3 linked regions of the Cricetulus griseus genome follow. The protein of the gene in region 2 purifies or fractionates together with the protein of the main gene of each other region. This does not show direct contact. Links are inferred from orthologs where the notes say so. Each region holds a gene or a part of one and is shown on either strand. Other genes may lie near its edges.

What was found.
Region 1: the proteins of Tuba1b (region 2) and Cct6a purify together in Homo sapiens (affinity purification with mass spectrometry; 3 studies listed by BioGRID and IntAct, counting the BioPlex papers as one, with this or other methods). This does not show direct contact. The link is inferred for Cricetulus griseus from reciprocal best matches to the Homo sapiens genes TUBA1B and CCT6A.
Region 3: the proteins of Tuba1b (region 2) and Hdac6 purify together in Homo sapiens (affinity purification with western blotting; 4 studies listed by BioGRID, with this or other methods). This does not show direct contact. The link is inferred for Cricetulus griseus from reciprocal best matches to the Homo sapiens genes TUBA1B and HDAC6.

The regions. Positions count from the first base shown.
Region 1 is NC_048597.1:109,117,397-109,121,042, forward strand, and holds part of Cct6a (T-complex protein 1 subunit zeta), read left to right. Parts: intron 1-1,288; coding exon 1,289-1,436; intron 1,437-1,482; exon of another isoform or gene 1,483-1,615; intron 1,616-1,907; coding exon 1,908-2,041; intron 2,042-2,798; coding exon 2,799-2,901; intron 2,902-3,646. UniProt on the Homo sapiens protein: Component of the chaperonin-containing T-complex (TRiC), a molecular chaperone complex that assists the folding of actin, tubulin and other proteins upon ATP hydrolysis.
Region 2 is NC_048595.1:395,400,632-395,404,786, forward strand, and holds the start of Tuba1b (tubulin alpha-1B chain), read right to left. Parts: upstream 2,920-4,155; 5' UTR 2,821-2,919; coding exon 2,818-2,820; intron 1,486-2,817; coding exon 1,263-1,485; intron 1,126-1,262; coding exon 977-1,125; intron 857-976; coding exon 1-856. UniProt on the Homo sapiens protein: Tubulin is the major constituent of microtubules, protein filaments consisting of alpha- and beta-tubulin heterodimers. Microtubules grow by the addition of GTP-tubulin dimers to the microtubule end, where a stabilizing cap forms.
Region 3 is NC_048604.1:114,403,061-114,406,706, forward strand, and holds part of Hdac6 (histone deacetylase 6), read right to left. Parts: intron 2,762-3,646; coding exon 2,635-2,761; intron 2,542-2,634; coding exon 2,476-2,541; intron 2,382-2,475; coding exon 2,322-2,381; intron 2,090-2,321; coding exon 2,000-2,089; intron 868-1,999; coding exon 761-867; intron 676-760; coding exon 608-675; intron 241-607; coding exon 72-240; intron 1-71.

The sequences.
Region 1 (3,646 bases), on a different chromosome or scaffold from region 2:
AGACAATAGTATTTTCTTTATCAGTGGTTGAGCAGAAAATTTCAAACTCAAAATCAGATTTTATTTTATTTCATTTATTTATTTTTTGGTTTTATGAGACAGGGTTTCTCTGGCTTTGGAGGTTGTCCTGGAACTAGTTCCGGTTTTTTTTTTTTTTTTTTTTTTTTTGGAACAAGTTCTTGTAGACCAGGCTGGTCTTGAACTCACAGAGATCCGCCTGCCTCTGCCTTCTGAATGCTGGGACTAAAGGCTTGTGCCACCAATGCCCTGCTCCTAAACAAGTTTTTGTTTGATTTTTTTTTGAGGCAGGGTTTCTCTGTAGCAGTTCTAGCTATTCTGGGAATCTTTGTCAGCAAAGCTGACCTCAAACTTAGAGGTCCACCTGCCTGTTCCTCCTGAGTGTTGGGATTAAAAGGGTATGCACCACCACCTCCCAGCTTTTCTTAATTTTATGTATTTATTTATTCAATTTGGTTTTTCGAGACAGGGTTTCTCTGTGTAGCTTTGGAGCCTATCCTGGCAGTCGCTCTGGAGACCAGGCTGGCTTGAACTTACAGATCCGCCTGCCTCTACCTTCCGAGTGCTGGGATTAAAGGCGTGCTCCATAAACGCCCGACTAATTTTATGTATTTATTTGAGACAGAGTAATACTATGTTGCCTGGGCTGGCATAGAACTCACTGTATGGCTTTCTGGTTTCTCAAAACAGGGTTTCCTGGCCAGCCTGGTCTACAGAGTGAGTTCCAGGGCAGGCTCCAAAGCTACACAGAGAAACTCTGTCTTGAGAAACAAAAACGAAAAAAGACAGTTTCCCTATGTAACCTTGGCTGTCCCGGAACTTGCTCTGTAGACTAGGCTGGCCTTAACTCAGACATCCTCCTGTCTCGGTCTCTCTAGTATTGGGATTAAAGGCAAATGTCAGCACCACCTTTCTGGATAGGGCTCTTTCACTAAATTTATTCCAGGTTGCTTGTGTGAGGGTTATTTACCACACCCCGGCAATTTGCTAGTGGTTACACCATCTTTAAAAAATTACTTCTCATGCATCTTGGTGGTTTATATGTAATATGAGTTGACTTTAAATTTTTAATTTCTCTTGTGCCTGATTATCCTCCCTTTCAAAAAACCTTGCGGTTTTTTGTTGTTTTAAGATAAGGTTTTACTATACATCCTTGGGTGTGTAAGAACTCATAGAGACCTGTCTGCCTCTGTCTTTCAAGTTCTGGGGTTAAAGGCATGCATCACCGTGCCCCAAGGGTAACTTTTAACAATAATTTCTCTTCTTCCAGGGCGAAGAGAAGTTCACCTTTATTGAGAAATGTAACAATCCCCGTTCTGTCACATTACTGGTTAAAGGACCAAACAAGCACACACTGACTCAAATCAAAGATGCAATAAGAGATGGCTTGAGGGCCGTCAAAAATGCTATCGATGATGGTAAGCAGCATGCTGTGCTTGACTTGTGCTCTTTTTAGTCTTAAAGGCATGGCTGAATACTGTGTTCTTTAGTCAATAATTTACACAGCCAGACACCATGCAAAAGTAAAGTCTTCCTTTAAAATGATTGGTATGCTGTTTTTTTTAATAGTATATCATTATTAAAAGTAAGTACAAATAAATTATTAAAGCTGGTGGCTCTTGAGCTACCAATTAGAATGTTTTGCTCTTGGTTGTGGTTGCTCATATTGTGACTCAAGAGGCAGGTCTGTGCTGGGGTGTTACTGTTGGTAAGGCACCTACTTAGCATATGAGGATAGATGTACCCACATGTCTATCACCCAGTACTGCAAGAATATATAAATGCATATAACTAAATAATATTGTTCTGAAATAATTTTATTCTGTATTTGCTGGGTTGGGTTTTGTTTTGTTTTGTTTCTCTATGACTTCTCCTTCCCTTGTCCACAGGCTGTGTTGTCCCAGGCGCTGGTGCAATAGAAGTGGCAATGGCAGAAGCTCTGATTAAATACAAGCCCAGCGTGAAAGGCAGGGCTCAGCTGGGAGTCCAGGCATTTGCAGATGCCTTGCTCATTATTCCCAAGGTTTGAATATTTACCTTAGTTTTCCTTGCTGACAACCTTTGGGATGCAGTCATTTGTTTATGCTAGTTTCCTGAACTATGCCAAGCTAGGCAGGGTGCCACATGCCTTTAATCCTAGCACCTGTGAGGCAGAGGCAGGCTGGTCTTGGCCAGCTGTGTACATAACATTTCAGGCCAGCCAGCAGTGTTTGTAGCAAGAGATAGTCTGCCTCAGACCTGGGTGGGTAGAATTTAGAACACCCACCCTACCACACCTGGGGTAGGCAAGCTCTAAGTGTCCACAGCTGTACAGAGGAGAATGGAAAAAAGAAAGCCAGCATGGAGGTTGGTCACAAAGTGAAGACTAGCAGCCATATAGCAAGGCAAGAGACAAAGTGGACAGATCAGAACTGCATGGCAGCAGCCCAGTAGGCCATTGCTTGCATGGGTTGTTGAAGGATGAGCTTCTTTTTACTTGAGCAAAACTAATGGCCTTGTCATCATGAGCTACTCAGTAAAGGTGAGGGCTTATGACCAGTACTGGGGGAGTGGGGGTGTCTATTCTCTGGAGAGAACATGAATAATGAATGGTTCTATCTCAGTGCATGCAAACCACTGTCCTGTTTGTTTATTTATTTGGGGCAAGAAGGGGTGTGCTATAGCACATAAGGAGGTCAGAAGCCTGCTTTCAGGGAACTTATTTTTAATTGGAAATACTGTAAGTTTATTTAACATTCAGTTTTCAGTTTGTTTCTTCAAGAATTAAATTTGTTTGCTAGGTTCTTGCACAGAACTCTGGTTTTGACCTTCAGGAAACATTAGTTAAAGTTCAAGCTGAACATTCAGAATCGGGTCAACTTGTCGGTGTGGACTTGAACACAGGTGAGATTGTACTTCTTTGTGGGGGTAGACTAGATTAGATGCAGGAAAACTGGGGAAAGTGAAAATGCCTGGGGGATCTTGCTGTGCCTCCCTGGTTTGGAATCAGTCCTGCCCTTCTAAGTTGATGTTACCCATAACTGTACCAACTAGATATGGAGACTGGGGCATGGGATGGATATTTTAAATGGTGGAGTAAAGCTAGTGGCATGATCGTAACCCTGCTTTTTAGCCCCTATAACACAAATGTACAATATAAAGCAGAAGGCCTACTGTCCATACTCACTAACTTAATTGAAGAGATTGCTGGAATGAGGGAAGTCAACAGGAATGAGTCCATAGCAGAGGGGGGTCTAAATGCTTGCTCAGCAGCTAGTGCTTTGTCATAAAGAGATATGAACCACATGGCCAAGATTCTGGAAAGGAGTGGTGAATAGTCAGTGATAACCAGTACTGTTGCTTCATATTTTAAAGATTTGAAGTTGTCTTTGACTACATAGCAAAATCCTGTCTAAGATAGTCCAAATTGGTCCTTGTTTTCTGTTCTAGAATTGGTGGGGTTTGTTCATAAATAGGATGATTTCTTGAAAAAGGTAAAGGTATTCGATTGGGGCTAGAGAAAGATAGTTAAGAGCAATAGTTGCTTTTCCAGAGGACCTGGGTTCCAGTACTAGCACCCACATGGCAGCTCACAACTGGTGTTACTTCAGTTCCAGGGGCTCTGATACCCTCAGGCATGCGTGCAGTT
Region 2 (4,155 bases):
CACCCACGTACCAGTGCACAAAGGCACGCTTGGCATACATCAGATCAAACTTGTGATCTAGGCGAGCCCAGGCCTCAGCGATGGCTGTGGTGTTGCTCAGCATGCACACAGCTCTCTGGACCTTAGCCAGGTCTCCACCAGGTACCACAGTGGGAGGCTGGTAATTAATGCCAACCTTGAAGCCAGTGGGACACCAGTCCACAAACTGGATGCTGCGCTTGGTCTTGATGGTGGCAATGGCAGCATTGACATCTTTGGGAACCACATCCCCACGGTACAGCAGGCAGCAAGCCATGTATTTACCATGGCGAGGGTCACATTTCACCATCTGATTGGCTGGCTCAAAGCAGGCATTGGTGATCTCTGCTACAGAAAGCTGCTCATGGTAGGCTTTCTCAGCAGAGATGACAGGGGCATATGTGGCCAGAGGGAAATGGATGCGAGGGTAGGGTACCAGGTTGGTCTGGAATTCTGTCAGGTCAACATTCAGGGCTCCATCAAATCTGAGGGAAGCAGTGATGGAAGACACAATCTGGCTAATGAGGCGGTTAAGGTTAGTGTAGGTGGGGCGCTCAATGTCGAGGTTTCTACGACAGATGTCATAGATGGCCTCGTTGTCTACCATGAAGGCACAATCAGAGTGCTCCAGGGTGGTGTGGGTGGTGAGGATGGAGTTGTAGGGCTCAACCACAGCAGTGGAAACCTGGGGGGCTGGGTAGATGGAGAACTCCAGCTTGGACTTCTTTCCATAATCGACAGAGAGCCGCTCCATCAGCAGGGAGGTGAACCCAGAGCCAGTTCCCCCACCAAAGCTGTGGAAAACCAAGAAGCCCTGAAGACCTGTGCACTGGTCAGCCTGTAGGAAAAAAAGAAAAGGCATTGTTTATCAGTAGTGAACAGACTTTACTTATTTTGGCAGGTCCCAACACTCCCCCACACTGCATTTTAAATGAATCCATCCATCTATGGTATTTACCAGCTTGCGAATTCTGTCCAAGACAAGATCAATGATCTCCTTGCCGATGGTGTAGTGGCCACGGGCATAGTTATTGGCAGCATCTTCCTTGCCTGTGATGAGCTGCTCAGGGTGGAAGAGCTGGCGGTAGGTACCAGTGCGAACTTCATCTGGAAAAGGAGATGAAATCAACCATTCACAACAGTAACTGACACACACAAGCTCACTCACTCTTCGGCGGTGTGTGGAGAGGTTCTGAGTATGTGACCAGGACAGAATGCCTCAGGGAAGCCCCTGGCCCACTTACCGATGACTGTGGGTTCCAGGTCTACGAACACGGCCCGGGGCACATGCTTGCCAGCGCCTGTCTCACTGAAGAAGGTGTTGAAGGAGTCATCTCCTCCCCCGATGGTCTTGTCACTTGGCATCTGGCCGTCAGGCTGGATGCCATGTTCCAGGCAGTAGAGCTCCCAGCAGGCATTGCCGATCTGGACACCAGCCTGGCCAACGTGGATGGAGATGCACTCACGCTGTGGGACAGAAAGAAGGGGAAAAAAAAACTATTAGTAATGCCGCAAGCAGCTGGAATTCTAACCATGGCACAAAGTGACAAATCGTTAAAACTCGCAAGCATTTATTAAAAAAAAAAAAAAAGCTAATTTCAGCCTTTCCACACCTAGAAGTGCTTAGTCACACTTCCTTTTTTGAAAACCAAGATACGAAGGCTTTTCATTTACCCTGTGCCCTCAGAGTTCTACTTTTGCTTTGTGCCCAGACTTCCGGACAACTGTAGGCAGAGGAAGCATGTGACTTAAGCAATGAGGAAGGTTCTGGTGGCAGGGCTCTACGGAATGAGATAATGGAGCATTTATTTGTGCATGCACCGAGGCGCCCGGGATGCAGCTGGTTTGCCACTTCCTCTATTTGTAGGCGCTGAGCTCAGCTCCCCCCGCATCCGTCCTGGTCCAGCAGGGAATCATAAGCCGCTCAGATCCGATTTCTGTTACCCTCAAACCCTTCAATGTCACCACCTGGTCCCACACAAATTCCTAACTCGAGACAGCTGAGACTTCACGCTGTTATTGCTAAGTATTGTGGAATATAGTCCGAGACCTGCCCCACATTTCTTATTGCTTTCATTAAAAGCAAAAGGAAAATCGAGGCTGAGGTAGAGAGGGGGCTTAGTATTCGAGGGCCAGGGTTTGCCCCACCGTCCCCCCCAAATACAGGAGACACACCCTAAACGAATTAAGCCCGCAGTGCCGCAGCGCGCACGCGCACACTGCAGAGGCTCTTCCCGCCGCTCTCAGGCGGGAACGTAACGGTCGCGCATGCGTCTTTGTCTCCTGGCGTCTTCCCGCCCCCGCCTTTTCGCACCGAAGAGGAAGTGAGGGCGGGGAAAGGCTATGTGCGCGCGCCCGAAAAGCAGAACGCAAGGGTAGGGTGGGGGCAGGGCCCGCGCGCGGGAAGACTGCAGTCTGAAAGCGCCATGCTGTAAATGCCTTGTGCAGGGCGTGGACGGATGCAGACCCAAGTCCAGCGGGGCCCGGGAGAGCCCCTTCTCCACATCCCGGAGGTCCTCAGGGATGGGCTCATGGGTCCTCAGCATGGGCCTCATGCTCCCCGGCTCACCCAGGGGAACCCGGGACAACCCCATCTCCCCCAGACCCCGGCGACCCCCAGTAGCTGGGGCCCCATGCTCGCCCGCTCTTCCAGGGGTACCCTGGAGAGCCCCTTCTCCCTCAGATACAGGCAGCCCCCAGCAGCCTGGGACCCTTGCTCTCCTGCTCACACACGCTTCAGCCCCAGGCCCCAGCGAGCAGCCCTCGCCTCGCCTCCCTTCCCTGCACCGATGCACTCACCATGGTAGCTACGGGTTAGAAGGCGAAGGTGACAAAAGCAGACAGCGGGTCACGGTTACCGTTCCCGACAGCTAAGAGTCGAGGTAAGTAACGCAATGAGGTGGAGGCGTCGGCTCCAGAGCCTCTTAAGTAGTTGCTGGGGCGGGGCGGGCGCGGCCGGGTGGCCACGGTCCCTCCCCCGGCCGGCCAGGTCCATTGAGCGCCCGGCTGGCCGCCGCAGAGGCGGGCTCGGCTCGCAGTCCCCTCCCTGCATGGGCCCACGGGGCGGGGCAGCCGCCTGGGCGTGCGCCGATGCTGCAGACTGGGGCGCGCCGCTGCATTGCGGGGAGGGAGTGGACGCTGCCGCAGACAGACAAGAGGGTGTGGGAGCCTGGGCAGACTGGCGCAGTCTTGATGAACCGGGGGACTTGAGGGGCCCGCAGTGTTAAAAGTGCGGCATCCTCAAGCGCTGAAAGGTGTGGTCCGGATAACTCAGCTGATCATTCATGTGGCCACACTCGATGAGTGAGTTTTGCCTTTCTCCTTGCTTCCTTTAAAGGCTGTGCTTACCTGCTACTGTGAAAGCCCCTTATAAAACCCTATCACTATACTTAGTATATTGCCATGGTTCATTCTCGAAACTAAAGGTACCTAGTACTGGAAGCAACTTGAATCATCCAAATGTTAAAATAGGGGCGGACTAGGCCAGAGTTTCAGCCTCTAGCTGCCAATTTAATGGGATTGCCCTAAATAAGGGCTCTTTCAAAAGATTTTTAAAATCATTTGAAGTGGTAAGCTAAATCGAAGAAGTGAGGGAAAACTAGAAGGAAAATGTCTCACTGAAGAATACAGACAGCAAGGAATTCTTGTGCTATACAAATTTTCTGAGTGCTGTGATGACCAGATTATAATCAATAAACTACCCTCCCCATTTATTCCAAGGCCATAAACTACTACTGACCTTAGAAATTCATAATGTGATGAAGGCTAACACGTGGCTTTAAACCGCCCTCACGGAACAGATTGCAATCACTCAGCTATTCAAAATGTCCTCCTGGCAGTGGCAGCAGGGAACACAGATCCTGTGCCGGCTGTGCAGCCTGAAACTCCCCTTTTCAGAGCCTCAGGCGCCTCTTAGTCAGGTGCCCTAGGATTCTCCACATAGTGCAGGAAAGCAGAATTCCAAGAGTCCTAGTAAAGGAATGCCTCAGCCAGTTAATTAAATAGGAGAAAGAGCAAACACTTGAAGCCAGGCGCCTAGTGTTAGAAGACAAGGCCCCCAAGTGCTTCAGCAGCAACTATGTAGGTAATTTCGGGGGCTTTGTAGTTACATTGTTTAAAAGAGGTAATGTGGATTGA
Region 3 (3,646 bases), on a different chromosome or scaffold from region 2:
AAACCAGAACCAGGGGTTCAGTAACTGAGATGAGTGATCCCAGAACTCATTCCAGCCCTCTGACTACATACTTGTCCCATAGGTTGCAGTGACTCATCATCTTTTCATCATAGACCAGCCCAGTGCGATCCTGTAGCACTGGCCATGTATCCATTGGCAGTCCAGCAGCCTCCCAGCGATCTTCCTCATATTCTTCTTCCACCCTGTCTTCCTCTACTTCATCTTCCTCCTGGGGCTCGACTATAAAGAGGGGCTCAGATTACCCTACTTGCTGAATCTGGATCCCATCATATTTCGAGACAAATGTGGCCCAGACAAAAGGCCTAAAACCCACACAGCCATCCCCACCAAGGCATCCCAGGAAAGCAAGAAGGGATCTGGTGCCGGGTGGTGGTGGCGCATGCTTTAGTCCAAGGGAGGCAGAGGCAGGTGGATCTCTGTGAGCTCGAGGCCAGCCTGGTCTACAAGAGCTAGTTCCAGGACAGCCTCCAAAGCTACACAGAGGAACCCTGTCTCAAAAAACCAAAAAAGAAGGGTTCTGGAAGGGAATATTCCTAATAGCTTATTCCATGTCTGATGCTGATTTTGCCCATCCCCCACCTCCTACCTGATTTCACAAGGATCTCCCAGAAGGGTTCAAGGGCTTCTAGCGTGCAGGAGATTGAAGTCTGGGCACTGGGGGTGAGGGAAGCAGAAATGTGATGAAACGGCCCCCAGGCAGGCAATAAGAGCTCTCCTTTCCCATTTCCCCCAGGCTTACCTTGCACAAGGTGCACCAGGGGACTCCAGCATGGGGCAAGGGTCTCCAAGAAGAGTGTGGAGTGATGCACTGACACCCTTAGCCAGGGCATGGAGGTTATAGCCACCCTGGGGAAGGAGTTGTTGGGGGAGGCAAGCAGAGGGCCATATATTAACAGGGAAGGATACTGATAACAGTAACAATATTTGGGTGCATACTATATGTCAAACAACAAGAAATCTAGATGGTGACATCATTTAATTTACTGGACAATGATGTAAAGTGATTAGCAGAGGCACCAAGGAATTATGGAGAAGTAAGGCCAAGCAAGGAACAACTTTACAAAAAAAAGCACATTAAAATTTTTTTGAGAATTGGCCAGGCGTTGGTGGCACCTGCCTTTAATCCCAGTACTCAGGAGGCAGAGGCAAGAAGATCTCTGTGAGTTCGAGGCCAGCCTGGTCTCCAGAGCGAGTGCCAGGATAGGCTCCAAAGCTACACAGAGAAACCCTGTCTTGAAAAACAAACAAAAAAAAATTGAGAATCAATTAACTTTATGATTATGAATGTTTTGCCTGCATGTGTATATGTGTACCACACATGTGCCTACTTGCAAGACACCATGCTGGGAATCGAACCCAGGTCCTCTGTAAAAGCAGCAAGTGCTCTCAACCACTAGGCATCTCTTTGGCCCCCAGGAACTTCTTATATACATGAAAGCTCTTGTTTTGTTTTCAGTGGTCCTAAGAATGGAAGCCCTTACATATATTATATATTAGCTAAGCATTCTACCTTTTTTTTTTTTTTTTGGTTTTTCGAGACAGGGTTTCTCTGTGTAGCTTTGGAGGCTGTCCTGGAACTAGCTCTTGTAGACCAGGCTGGCCTTGAACCCACAGAGATCCGCCTGCCTCTGCCTCCTGAGCGTTGGGACTAAAGGCATGCGCCACCACCGCCTGTGGCATTCTACCTTTTAACTCCATCCCCAAGGCCCAAAAGATCTGTTCTTGAGCCTCCAAGTGGGCCAGTGAGTTGGATCAGAGGATAAGAGGGCTTGCCACCAAGCCTGATAACCGAAGTTCAATCCCCCAAAAGAATCTACATGGTGGAAGGAGAGAACCAACTCCCACAGTTGTCTTCTGACCACATACATCATGGTACATGTGCATAGCGTATGTGCATGTACATACAAACAATGAATAAACAAATATAAAAATTCTAAGCCCTTTAGGATCTAGAGTTTGATAAAAGTGAGTTACTCACCTCCAGAGACAAAATCACCTTGCCTCCTGCCAGACCCATGAGGAAATGGGTTAGGTGGGCAAAGCCTGCTGGAGTGGCGGCCATCTCTCCCTGCAGGAACACAAAGCTCAGTGTACTCCCCCCTTTTTTTGGTTTTTCAAGACAGGGTTTCTCTGTGTAGCTTTGGAGCCTATCCTGGCACTCGCTCTGGAGACCAGGCTGGCCTCGAACTCAGAGATCCGCCTGCCTCTGCCTCCCGAGTGCTGGGATTAAAGGCGTGCACCACCAACACCCGGCCAGTGTACTCCCCTTTGCCTACCTAAAACCCGAGAACCTGCCTTACCTTGGGGTCTCCTTGGAGGGCATCAAATCCAGCAGCCACCAGGACCAGTTGAGGCTGAAACTGAGGAAGGGAACAGACTATGTGAGAACACCCTCCTTCACAGGTCATCCCTCAGTGTTGCCCCTCACCCCTAAATTTCCTGGATCTCCAAGACCTCAAAGGCAACTGGCAGCAGGATGTGCAGAAAAGCAGCAATGTAGTCAGCATCCCGCATCCCCACCTGCAGACACAGAAACACGATGGACAGTCAGGCACCTTTCTTGAGTCGGTGGGAGGGCAGGGCTAGGCTCACTTCAGGTGGGAAGACACTGACCTGGTTCCAAGGTACATTGATAGTATATCCCTGGCCTTGGCCAAAACCTGTAGTGGACCAGTTAGAAGCCTTAAGGTGGGGCCAGAACCGACCCTGCTCATAGCGGTGGATGGAGAAATAGAGGACACTAGAGGCAGAGAAAAGAAATGTTGAGAGGTTGCATAGCATGTGGAAACTCAATCTCCAGCATAGAAAAAAATAAGGAAATTGAAGAGTCAAACTTAAGGCCTCCAACCTACAGCTACAGGGTTTAATTCAACAAGGTGATTTTACCAACTACTCAATTCATTCTCTAAGTTTTTCCAATTTTCAATCTGTACTTTTTTGTTTTGTTTTGTTTTTGGAGACAGGGTTTCTCTGTGGAACTTTGGAGGTTGTCCTGGCACTCGCTCTTGTAGACCAGACTGGTCTCGAACTCAGAGATCCACCTGCCTCTGCCTCCCAAGTGCTGGGATTAAAGGCATGTGCCACCAACGCCCGGCTTCAATCTATACTCTCAAGTCTTGCATTAGTTTACCCTTCCATTCATTTACCAACTTATTCATTTCCCCATTCATTAACCCCCCGTGGTTCACCCATTTTTCCTACACATTGACTGATCTCCCACCAGAATTTCTGTCAGTAAATATTGCTGCCTCTTCAGTGTCCACCCAATTTCAGACTCAAGTCTAAGGTCTCAAGAGCTACTGAGTCAACCCAAGAACCTGGGCAATGATGACCCTGTGAGAAACTCTAGGTCATGTCTTCTAATCACTCCTGCCACTGTTATTATCCCAAGGTAATAACAACACTGAATACTGGAGGTTCATGGGAGTCTTGGGGGAACTTATCTGCAGAAGCCAGCTAGGGCTGCAAAGAGCCTCCAGTCCATGCTGGGGAACTTAGTGATTCCACTGAAAGAGGTGGAGAGATGCAGAAGGCCAGGAATGAGGGAAGATGGGGCGTGGTTTTGTGTGTAAAGCTAAAGTAAAAGATGCTATCTAAGGCTGCCATAAAGTCAGTAAGGACATTC